Solanum lycopersicum: one gene and its partners. The main gene of each other region encodes a partner of the protein of the gene in region 3 in a complex. Links are inferred from orthologs where the notes say so. Each region holds a gene or a part of one and is shown on either strand. Other genes may lie near its edges.

Evidence for each region.
Region 1: THO complex subunit 5A (region 3) and THO complex subunit 3 share a complex: the UniProt entries of both Arabidopsis thaliana proteins name them as parts of the THO complex. The link is inferred for Solanum lycopersicum from reciprocal best matches to the Arabidopsis thaliana genes THO5 and TEX1.
Region 2: THO complex subunit 5A (region 3) and THO complex subunit 2 share a complex: the UniProt entries of both Arabidopsis thaliana proteins name them as parts of the THO complex. The link is inferred for Solanum lycopersicum from reciprocal best matches to the Arabidopsis thaliana genes THO5 and THO2.

The regions. Positions count from the first base shown.
Region 1 is NC_090806.1:70,055,968-70,059,723, forward strand, and holds the start of THO complex subunit 3, read right to left. Parts: upstream 2,400-3,756; 5' UTR 2,283-2,399; coding exon 2,220-2,282; intron 2,079-2,219; coding exon 1,983-2,078; intron 1-1,982. UniProt on the Arabidopsis thaliana protein: Acts as a component of the THO subcomplex of the TREX complex which is thought to couple mRNA transcription, processing and nuclear export. Contributes to the integrity of the endogenous trans-acting small interfering RNA (ta-siRNA) pathway.
Region 2 is NC_090804.1:20,379,193-20,382,870, reverse strand, and holds the start of THO complex subunit 2, read left to right. Parts: upstream 1-868; 5' UTR 869-1,179; coding exon 1,180-1,314; intron 1,315-1,939; coding exon 1,940-2,065; intron 2,066-3,678. UniProt on the Arabidopsis thaliana protein: Acts as a component of the THO subcomplex of the TREX complex which is thought to couple mRNA transcription, processing and nuclear export.
Region 3 is NC_090803.1:65,322,245-65,326,000, reverse strand, and holds the start of THO complex subunit 5A, read right to left. Parts: upstream 2,370-3,756; 5' UTR 2,079-2,369; coding exon 1,869-2,078; intron 1,579-1,868; exon of another isoform or gene 1,393-1,578; intron 1-1,392. Other genes in the region: annexin D5, read right to left, coding at 3,383-3,586. UniProt on the Arabidopsis thaliana protein: Acts as a component of the THO subcomplex of the TREX complex which is thought to couple mRNA transcription, processing and nuclear export.

The DNA of each region.
Region 1 (3,756 bases), on a different chromosome or scaffold from region 3:
CAAAATATACTACAATCTTCATGCAAGTTCCAAAGTTGAGGAACTTGGGATCTGTGACTATGAAACAAGATAAAAGTACATTTATAGTATTGATACAGAGCAACAGAAGCAAAATATCATTCAATCTTCATGCAAATTCCAAAGTTGAGGAACTTGGGATTTTTGCGACTATGAAACAAGATAAAAGTATGTTTATAGCCTTGATAAAGAGAAATGACAAATGATATAGAGTTATGGAGCACTCGATCTACTAACAAAGTAAAAATTTATCTGGTCTATGACCAAGTAAAAGATTTAATTGATAATAACAAGGCTATCTTGGTCATATAAAAGGAGTATACCACAAAAGGAGAAACCTACCAAACATGGTTCTCCAAAAGACACCTCAATCCTCTATACAAACAAAAATTACACCAAAAGAAAATAAGGGATCGGAGACTACTCCTCAATTGAGCAAAGCTAATCTCCAATTCTCCACCCTTTCAATAGCTCTCCTATTTCTCTCTTTCCAAATGACCCACATTACTGCAAGAGGAGTAACATTCACACCTTGTGTCTTCTTATCCTAACTCCACTCTTCCAACTGAACATCAACACTTCAACAGACATTTGGGATTGCCCAAGAAATATCAAACCATCTAAAGATATCCTACCATAACCTCGAGATGTTTTGCAATGTAGCAAAATATTGATCATGTCCTCTCCTGCCTCTTGACACAAGAAACAACAACTTATGCCCACCACCTTTCATTCCCTAAGATTCTTCACCGTCAATATCACCCCTTTAGTAGCTAACCACAAGAAGAAATACACCTTCTTCAGCACCTTAGGTGTCCATACCGAGTCATACAGAAAACTAACTTCCACCCTAACAGGAAGCTTTTATAGGACTTAATAGAGAACACTTTTTTATTCACCAACTCCCAACTCAAAGCATCAGGTCTATCTACTGGTTTGCATTGCTTATGGTATAAAACTAGAAAGCTTTGAAGATCGGTCATCTCCCAATTTCGGAAATCCCAGAAGGTCCCACCCCCTAATTTGCTGAACAGACAGCTCCCTTTGCCCAGAAATGCTATACAACACCAAGAAATCATTCTTTAACCAAATCACTGCACCACTTTTGACCCCCAAAAACTAGTCTCCTCCCAACCCCAAACTTAAAAGAAAATGTTTTTGTTAAAGGCTTCCCACCCCTTCATTATATTCTTCTACATGCCAAACTCGGAAGGTAACCACATTTGTTCTCCATCTTCCTTCCATAACTCCATATTTGTCCGCTATCACCCCTCCCATAAAGCTTCTTCCTCCATCTCGAATCTCCAAAGCCATTTATCCAAGAGGACTTTGTTAAAAACCTTCAAGTCTTTAACCCCAAGTCCTCACCACTGTTTAGGAGATGTCACGGTCTCCCGTCCCACTAGGTGAAACTTCTTTGTCCCATCCGCCGCATCCCAAATGTTCCTTTGCTACCTTTCCAGCTTTTCTATAACTCCACACCAAGTGCGTTGAGCTGGGACATGCGATATTTTACCATCCTGTACAACTCTGGAGCATTTCTGCATCTTTTTACCCATTCTCCCAATTCAAACCTCTCTGTGTATCTATAACATCGAATTCGTATGACCTCCCACAAGTGAGGTTACGCTTACTTTACCCCACCTTTGATAAGTAACAACAAAATTTAAACCTAACTGCAACAGGCATTACTATCATAGGTTCCTTAACTCATACCACATAGAACTAGACTTTGGCAGAAACAACTAAAGTGAGAGACCAGCTTCTTAACTCTAGAGAAAATCTCAGGTGCCTAAGTTCATGCATATATCATAAAAAGCTATCCTTTTTTCAGTTTATTTACAACACCCAGTTTCCCACCACTTCAGTAGAACATTTAAAAATCAGAGCAATAACAAAAAGCTATCCTTTTTTCAGCATTAAAACTTAACTGAAAACAAAAAAGATGAGCTCATGAAGCTTACATGACCATGAGGCTCAATTTGCCAAATACGAGCTGTTTGATCCACAGAACCTGAAGCTAATTTCGTGCCACTGCAGTTCCATGCCACCGAATGCACCTTTAATTTTTTTTAAAAAAACAGAGAAGATAAAGTATCACATAGTCAATTCATCTAATCAGAGAGTTCATAAAAAGGAAAAGCAAAATTAGGGTTGTATTGTTAACAATGAAGTGAAGGAATAGTTTTAGAGAGAGAAACCTTCTTCTTGTGTCCCTGGTACTCTCTGCTATGAAGATTTTTGAAGGGTATTGTTTCCGCCATTACTCTTCTGCTTGTTTGCTCCGTTTACTTCTCTGAATATTTTTTTTGCTTGTGTAGAAGACGAACAAAACGACACACAATATTGTCGTTTCATGCCAACCCTGTTTAGAAAATGATAGACTAGTCCTTTAAGTTTGAGAATGGTCTAAAATAGTCCTTTATACTGTCGAAATTGAGCATTTTTGGTAATTAACACATGGTCGCTAGTAGTTATTTTTGTTGAAACTGCCTCATGAGAAATAGGTGAGCCCTCTTTTAAACAGAAAAAAAAAATCATCTAAACGGGAATTTCAAGGTTTAAATTTAAACGAGTTACATATTTTGTGTTATAACAATGATCAAGAGCTAGAAGTGTTCAACTTTAATAAATTATTTTGGTGTATAACATTTAAGATCCATTGATTTACCGTAATTATAATTCTTTTGTTATAAAGAAACAATTCATATATTTTATAGAAATAATAATATAAATGGTGGAAATTAATCTTTGATATTTTTTTCATCTAATAATTGTGAAGGAATTAATCGTAGAAATATTTATTGTACATGTTTGTGTGTACTGGCATATATTTACTTTTTTAACAATATTTTATTTTTTCACAAGCATAAGTCAAAGTGTTCATCAAAATGATATCTTTTATATTATTTATTTATTTGGTCTATTAATTGAAAAATACATATAACAAAATATTAGTACCTATCAAATAATTGTCAAAACTGTACAATTATGACTTTTGAGCAAGACAACATTTTCAATAATTTTAAATTTAATTCAAAAGTTTGAACAAATAATACTTCTTATTTCCCACTTTTTCTGGAGATTAATTGATGTGATTGGGGATTAGATATAAAATAAAATAAGTAGCTTGCCCATCTATTCAAAAAAGCAATTTAAAGAATATAAGAAATATTAAAATAAAAAGGTTCAATCAACTTCCTAAATACGTGGAGAAAGTCCAATCTCATCCATTTAAGAGTACTATTAGAGATAATTCTACTTTTATTCCCTCAATTATTCATAATTTTAGTCATTGTGATATTTGATTAAGTATATTTAATTTGTAATGAATTAAAAGTGGGTTTTTTAGATTATATTTGAGTAATAATATAAAACTAGTATGATATTTTGATAGCGAATAATTTAACACAATTATTCATGATATGTTTCAAAGGACATATAATTGAAAAAATTAAATACTTCATGCAATTAATCGAAAATATTCATCAGTTTATTCAAATATTATAATTATAAAATAATTTTAAAAAAATTCATTAGTGTTAATCTTAAAGTTTTAGCTGAGCTATAGTCTCTTTTGACAGAATTCAAAGAAATTACAGTTAAAAATAAATTATTTTAGTTCTTAATTAAATATTTTAACTTTAAATTTAGATAAAATATTATACTAAAGAATACATTTTGTTACATAAATTTTATATAATATAAAAATAAACAAAAATATCAAACAAACAAAAA
Region 2 (3,678 bases), on a different chromosome or scaffold from region 3:
CTTAATAGAGGCCTTAATCTTAATCATTCAGATTCAGTCTATTAAATATGTTTGCTTTTTAGATTTGAATTTTAATCATTCACATTCAGCTCATTAAGTTTATTTATTTTTTCTTTAAAAAAATCTCTTAATGGGTCTTAATGAGTCTAATTAGATCAGATTTATAATAAAGTCTTAATATTTTTCAGACTCCATTAAAATAATAAATGTCTTTTCATAAATAAATTCTATTCTTCCTTGCTTATCTTCTGTTCAAATTTCAAATTTCTTCCTCTCCTTTTCCAATTGAATACCATTTTTCTTTTGAATAAGTAAGTTTTCATAATCTTTTACAAGTATTTAATTAATATTGTTAATATATAAAATATTCTTAGATGAATTGATATTTATGAAGAAATATTTTTGTCACAATTCGTTTATTGCCAAAATTTCTTTGAAATAAGTTATCATTATTTCTTGAGAAAAAAATTGTTTGAGAAAACAAATAAATCATTTTTTTTGCGATTGGTTATAATCTTATTCTTGAAACAACTTTTTGGAAAAATTATCTTGTGTTTGGATTATAAATTTTATTGATATAATGTTTAATTTATAATTTTATAAATAAATAAATTATGCACATAGTCGATATTGAAAACAACCAATCTTAATAATTCAGTGTTTAGACCTAGAACTACATCTTAAAATTCATTTTTTGCATTCAGATTCTAATACCTTGATCGTAATGTGATTCTTAATATCCAAATGTATATTTAGGTTCAAATTCTTAATCTTAATAAAAATAAATAAGATCTTATAACTAAAGTAGTTGAAAAATGTAATTTCTTTTTAATATTTTATATAAGATTAGAAAATTTTGAAAAATGTTAATTTGACCCTTTATTTGTCAGTGTGTCACCAACAAAACCATCCCTTCGACGCCTTTCATTCAATTTTCTCGAGTAAATAATTCTTTCTTATAAAATAAATAAGAAAAAGAAACCCAGAAAAAAGAAGGATCAGAAATTTGTCGCAGAGGGGCATTTATTTTCCTTGAAGCTCCGAAACCCTAAAAATAGAAGAAGTTGATATCGCCATGGAAAATCTTCGAAATTAGGATTTGGTGTTTCTCTATCTTAATTCTTAAAAAGCAAGTGCCAAAACCCTAGGTCGTAGGGTTTGTCATCTTCGACAACAAAAATGTCTCTTTCACCTTTGGAGTATTTGTACTTTACAGAGCACTCCATCAAAGAGTTGAAAAATGGAAACACCAGCTTCAAATTCGCTCAACCACTTCCCACTCTTCGCTTTCTTTATGAGCTCTGCTGGGTTATGGTATTCATTTTATTTATTTATATATTCAATTTTGAACTATTTGTGTTCCGTTTTAGATACTTAGGATTATTTGGAACTTCCATTATTATATAATTGAGTTAAATCCATTCACGTTGTTGAAATATTAGTTTGTTATTTGCTAAGATAGTGATCTTTGTAAAGAAGTCTGATTATGTAGAAAACCGATTAATAGATAATTCACTACTAATTTAATCAATTTGTTGAACTAATAGTTGGTTTATCTGCAAAAAAGTGATTTTTGATAAGTTTGATGAATTTAAAAATGCATTATTACATAATTGATTGAAAACTTTATTCAATTTATTGAAATACTTGGTTAGTTGCTGAAAGGTGATTTTTTTTGACATGTTTGATTATTTGGAAAGTCGATAAATAGCTAATTGGTAAATTATTGATCCTTTTGGGTGTGGTTAATTGGTTATTTGCCGCAAAACACTTGTTTCTGTTTGTAAATTTATTGAATTTAAAGCAACATACTGATTAGATCATGTAAAAGAACTAAAAAAAAATCCCTGAAAGGATATTTTTGTTAGCTTCGCTTTTCATTGGTTTGTTGCTTTGAGGTCTGTGAATTGATTGTTTTGGGTTGTTTTGGGTGTTCAAGGTTCGAGGTGAGTTGCCGTTTCAGAAATGTAAATTGGCATTAGAGTGTGTGGAGTTTGTGGACTATGCATCTCAGGAGGAGCTAGGGTCGAGTTTGGCCGATATTGTTACCCAATTGGCTCAGGATGTGAGTTTTCCTATTCCCTTTTCTTCTTATTGTCAACTATTAATCCTGAAATTACTGTCCATATTTGTTTACTTTTTTTTTTTGAAACTGGTAACTTTAGTCTATATATCCACAGGTATACTACAACAAAAGTGTAGTTCCCCTTCAAAAGTTTTACAAGTTACAGAATAAAAAAGTCTTAGTCTAAATTAGTCTTAATCTAAACTGCTACCTATAACTAGCACATCAAAGATATCTTCTGTCCTAGTTAACATATCTTGTTCACACAAAAAATAGAAAAGAGCTAAGCAGTCCATCTTGATCTTCTGTAAGCTATTCTGCCAATTTTCAGAACTCCAACTGTTTCTCTTTTTCCAGATTGTCCACCAAAAACATGCCGGGACAAGTTTCCATCTCTTCTCCTTGTCAGAAGCATTGCCATCTCTATTCCAGCTGCTCAGGATTCCTTTAATGCTCCCTGGTTTCACCCATCTTATCTCCTTTAGACAGATGAACATTCTCCATAATTGTTATGTCTATGTACAATGCAAAAAAGATGGTTAATTGTCTTAGCATGTTCTCCACATAAAGTACATCTCGAAGCCAACTGAGAGCCTCTTTTCTTTAGATTTGATGAGTCAAAACTGCTTCTTTTGTTAATAGCCACATGAAGCAGTTTTCTCTGTAGGGTACTTTTGGTTTCCAGATGATCTTCCATGGCCATTCCATCTCCTGTCCAGCATTCTTGTTGAGTTCCTTATAGACTGAATTTACTGAGAATTGACCTTTGGCATCATTCTGCCAAACTAATAAGTCCTCCTTTTCAGTGAGGTTGCTGAAAGAGCCTACTGAATTTTGAAATTCTGCCACTTTGTCAATCTCCCATTCTGAAGGTTCCTCCTTAAGAACAAATTCCATCCTTGTCCAGTCCACATTGTCTCTTAATATGTGAAAATACAAGGGTATCTTTGTAAGCTACATTCACTTGCTGCTCTGGACATCAAACAAACACCCTTGATTTTGGCTTATATACCTGCAACCTGAAACATCAATTTCTTTGTTGGAGTTTTATGAATTCTATTTCTTAGTATTAGCTTAATTTGATGAATGGATGAGTATATTTAGTCAAATATCGACTTGTAAAAATCTCATTTCAGTAGGTCAAACTTGACTATATGTTGTTATCACTAGCATTAGTGGCACTAGGTACAGGTGGAAAATAAGAGTAGTTTTTCAGGTTTTCTTTGGTCATTATCAGGACATATGTATGAGTTACAATAGGATGCAGGTGAGTGGAATTGTAATTGCAACAGTCAAGTAGCTAGATAAGCTCTCTAGGGACATATAGGAGCACTAAGTTTCCCTTTGGGACCATAGTACTAATAGAAGCCGGTGTATAGGACATTAGAAACAACCAATCTGTTGCGAAGTCCAGAACAATCAGATTCGTAAGATCTGAATTTCTCTGGTTTGAGTTAGTTCCAAATCATTGAATTTAAATTGCTATTGTGCATGTTTGATTTTGTAGATCTTTTTGGGTTTGATAACTCAGTCGGCTGGTCAAATGCTGTTGCACATATTTCCTTTCCTTTTGGTGTTAATTTGAGCTTGTAAATCATTATAGGCTCCCTAAA
Region 3 (3,756 bases):
TTAGTACCTTACTCAAAGTGTGGAGCTCAAAAAATCAAATAAAAATATATGAATCTAAACTTTACATGGAATATGTCCAGCCTAACAATAATAACTGCAACCCTAAGAGACATTATATGAGCAATTTGCAGTGAAGCATGTTCAAGTTTGAGAAGTAAAGCAATCAAGCAATAATTTCATTCAATCAGAATTCGAGTTTAAACACAAGAAGATACAACCGACTCTCCAATATTAAGGGTACAGCCTAACAACTAGACCTAATCTTCGAGAAACAAATTGTCGGAATTCCTAAAGTAATAACACTCTCACAGGGCCATATATCTTCGTGTTGATCAACGCTGATTACAATATCGGGTACCCCAGTCATATATTTAATCTCGCCCAGATATGTTTGCAAGCGAGATAATTGTCTTTTCAACAAAGCTGCATCTCTTTCAGGAGACGGTTGAGTCTCCCTGTTTTTTGATCTATTCTCATGTCCCTGGACTTATAAAACTTGTTTTTATAGAGGGACAATTCGTCAACATACTGCCGAGCCATTTTTCATTAACATAATGACACCGGGCCCTTATTGCAGCCCACTCTACAGAATCAGCTGCTTATATTATTGTGATATAAGGCGCCATTTAAGGATTCCATTTCCTAGTACCATGACCAAAATGAAATAAATTGTTATGTCATAACATAGCTGTACCTAGACACAGTTTCATCCTATGGCTGAGTCTACAGGGGAAGCTAAAAACTAAAAATTTATTCTTGAGATGGGGACTCGTGTATATCCTGTTTGCATCTTCTGCAGCACTTTAGTCGAGACTGGAAGTCACCTATTTTTCAAGTGTCAGTTTACTAAAGATATATGGAGCGACATATGCAAATTGCAGAAAAGGATCAAGGCAATACTGGAGTGGGAACTTGAATGGAGTTGGATGCAACAAAATTTCAGAGGCGAAGATCCAAGGAAGATGATACTTAAAAGTAGTCTAACTATGGTGGTTTATGGTATATGGCCAGAAAGAAACAGACAGATTTTGCAAATCACATCCATGCACAAGGAGAAACTAGTACACTTAGATGAAGCTCTCTCTGAACACAAGAACTAGGAATAGTAGGATGTTGTTTAGATATGTAGAATCACTAAATGAGCAGTTAACTATATTTGCCATTTAGTTTGGTTTCTAGCAGATGAGATGAGAAAGGATTGAATTGGTTAATTCATATTTCATCCTAGCTTTGTAAAGAGTTCACTTGGTAGTTGGAAATTAATAAAATGTTTCTTTAATTGCCAAAAAGAGAAAGGAAGAAACGGAAGCACATGTATACAGTTCTTTTTGTTTGTTATGTACACGTAGATCAGAACTACTCAATAAATAAAATTGAGTTGAGATTACCAACCAGAGTGATCAAAGATAAACAATACTAACAGGTGTTTTGCAGGATGAAAATAGAATACAACGGAGAAAGGTCGCAGTTTCCTAAATCCGATTAATTAACTATGCATAGACTCCCTCCATGATAGTCCCAAATGAACTAGCGCCAGGGCAGCTGTACCTAAAAAGCACAGGTCTCCGGTAAATCTACCTACAAAGGTTTAGAGCAACTCTCAGTCTCTCACTGAGTATTGTAGCTGAGTCCATTGAATTACATCAACCAACATTCATAAGGATGATACATATATAAAAATTGAGTCTAGAGTACTAACAGCTCATACTTAAACTTAAACTCATCTTCGTTTGACTGGTCTAATCACTTCGTTAACAACAAAATGCTACCTCTACTTCAAAATCGGATTGACGAGCGGATTATTTAATTGGAAACTGGACTCATAGAACTTTAAAAAGGAACAATTGGAGATGCAATGAAATATTAACCTGACGGAGAGAGACGAAGTTGATGAAAATCTGAGTGACAAGTTCGCGAATTTCAGATTTCGGCGTGCTTTCTTTCTTCATAGAAAGCATTTTCGAGACGATTTCCTCTACTGAAGCTTTGCTTTGCTGCAGAACCTCGTGCGGCGACCTTTCCGGCTTGTGCTCCGGCAGTATCTCACCGGGTTCCCCCATGGTTACGTCCATTTTCATCTTTACTCAGTCGCTGCCTACAGGTTTAAGTGGTACATTAAGCTTCTGGATGTGTACGTTACTAGGGTTTGATCCGTTTACTCTTGCTCGAGCGAGCGCTTCGGTCTTCCCTTCTTATTGCTTCCTTCTTTTTTCTCCTTTTTTAAGCATTAATTTCCATAATTTAAAAGGAAAAAAAATTAGGCAAAAGATTTTTTTAAAAAGAGATATGTTTTTGTTTCAAGATGTTCTTGTATTACTCAAAAATTATTTTCTATGTGATACATTGTTTACTCGTTTAGAAAATACAAATACAAATTTAGTAAATTCCTTCCTTTAATATTTTATTTTTTAATTAATCAAAAATTTTTGAAAAATTGTTGGGAAATTTGATAGTCCGTCATAACTTCCGACAAGCAAATAAAGTAGCGAGCGCTCTAAAAATAATAATAACAACAATAATAGTTTGACTTCAAAATTTTAATACTACTTTTAATGTGATCATTTACCATTAGACACAATTATATTTTCAAACCACTTCCTTTTTTTCTTCATTTGTTTAATTGTATAAAACATACTTAATACCCTTAAAATGAGATATATGAAGCAAATCATCACCCTATAATAAAAGAGCAATCTATGTAGCATTTAAAATTGAATAGGAAAACAAATTTTCTTCAACTACTTATTATTGTCCATTCTTTTAATATTTGTGGCTCTCGAGAGTTTTTTTAAAGGAATGATTGGTCAAAGTTACGTGATAGTCTATAAATATTATTGCCTACCCAACACAGTCATACACAGTCAAAATTTACTAAACGCGATTACAATGAGATGAATAAAATTATGACATGGTTGAGAGATGTTAAAGTTGACTTTCTAACTCATACGTAAAAAAATCTCAATTGGACCATCATAATCAGTGAACAAAGTATAAACTTAATTTTTCAACAATATAAAATACTGACCGCACAAACAACAAATCTATTAAAGTGAGGGCAGGAAATAACGGATGTTGCAAAATATTTTTCAAAAAATTTAACCAACCAAACATGAGAAATTTAGGTGGGAAAAAATATATTTTCCTCCGGTACCAAACATACCCAAATAAGTGTACATCTGAAAGCACCTTCACAACACCATTCACACTTAGCATTCGACTAAACTAAAAAAGGTATCCAACTGATCATGGACAGACATTGTTCCAAATCAACTACTCAGCAAATAAGCAAACAATAATTAGCATACAATAGAAACTGCTTACACACTAGTTTCAACACTAATACCACACTAATAACACCTGTTGCATGGCGTAGACTCTTGATTCAGTGACCAGGCCCCAGAAGAGATAGAAGAAAGGTCCGATAATCACCAGAAGTCTCCGAATGAACAGCATCATTAAGAGATTTCTTATACTTTTTCTGGTACTCTGCTTTTATATACTGCATATCAATCTCAGTTCGCGTGACTATTATCCTTATGAGAGTTGTATCATTCGTCCCCAAGCCCTTCATTGCCTTGTGTAACTCCTGAATCCATTTAACATATGTAAGGTGCAGTACAGCCACAGAGTTTATACAATTTATTCATGTAAGAATTAGCATAGCTTACTAAATCTAAGACAAAAATGATAACACAGATTATAGCAAAGTACTAGAGATTATTCTGAAGCCCCCAATGAAGGATGCTATAGTAAAAA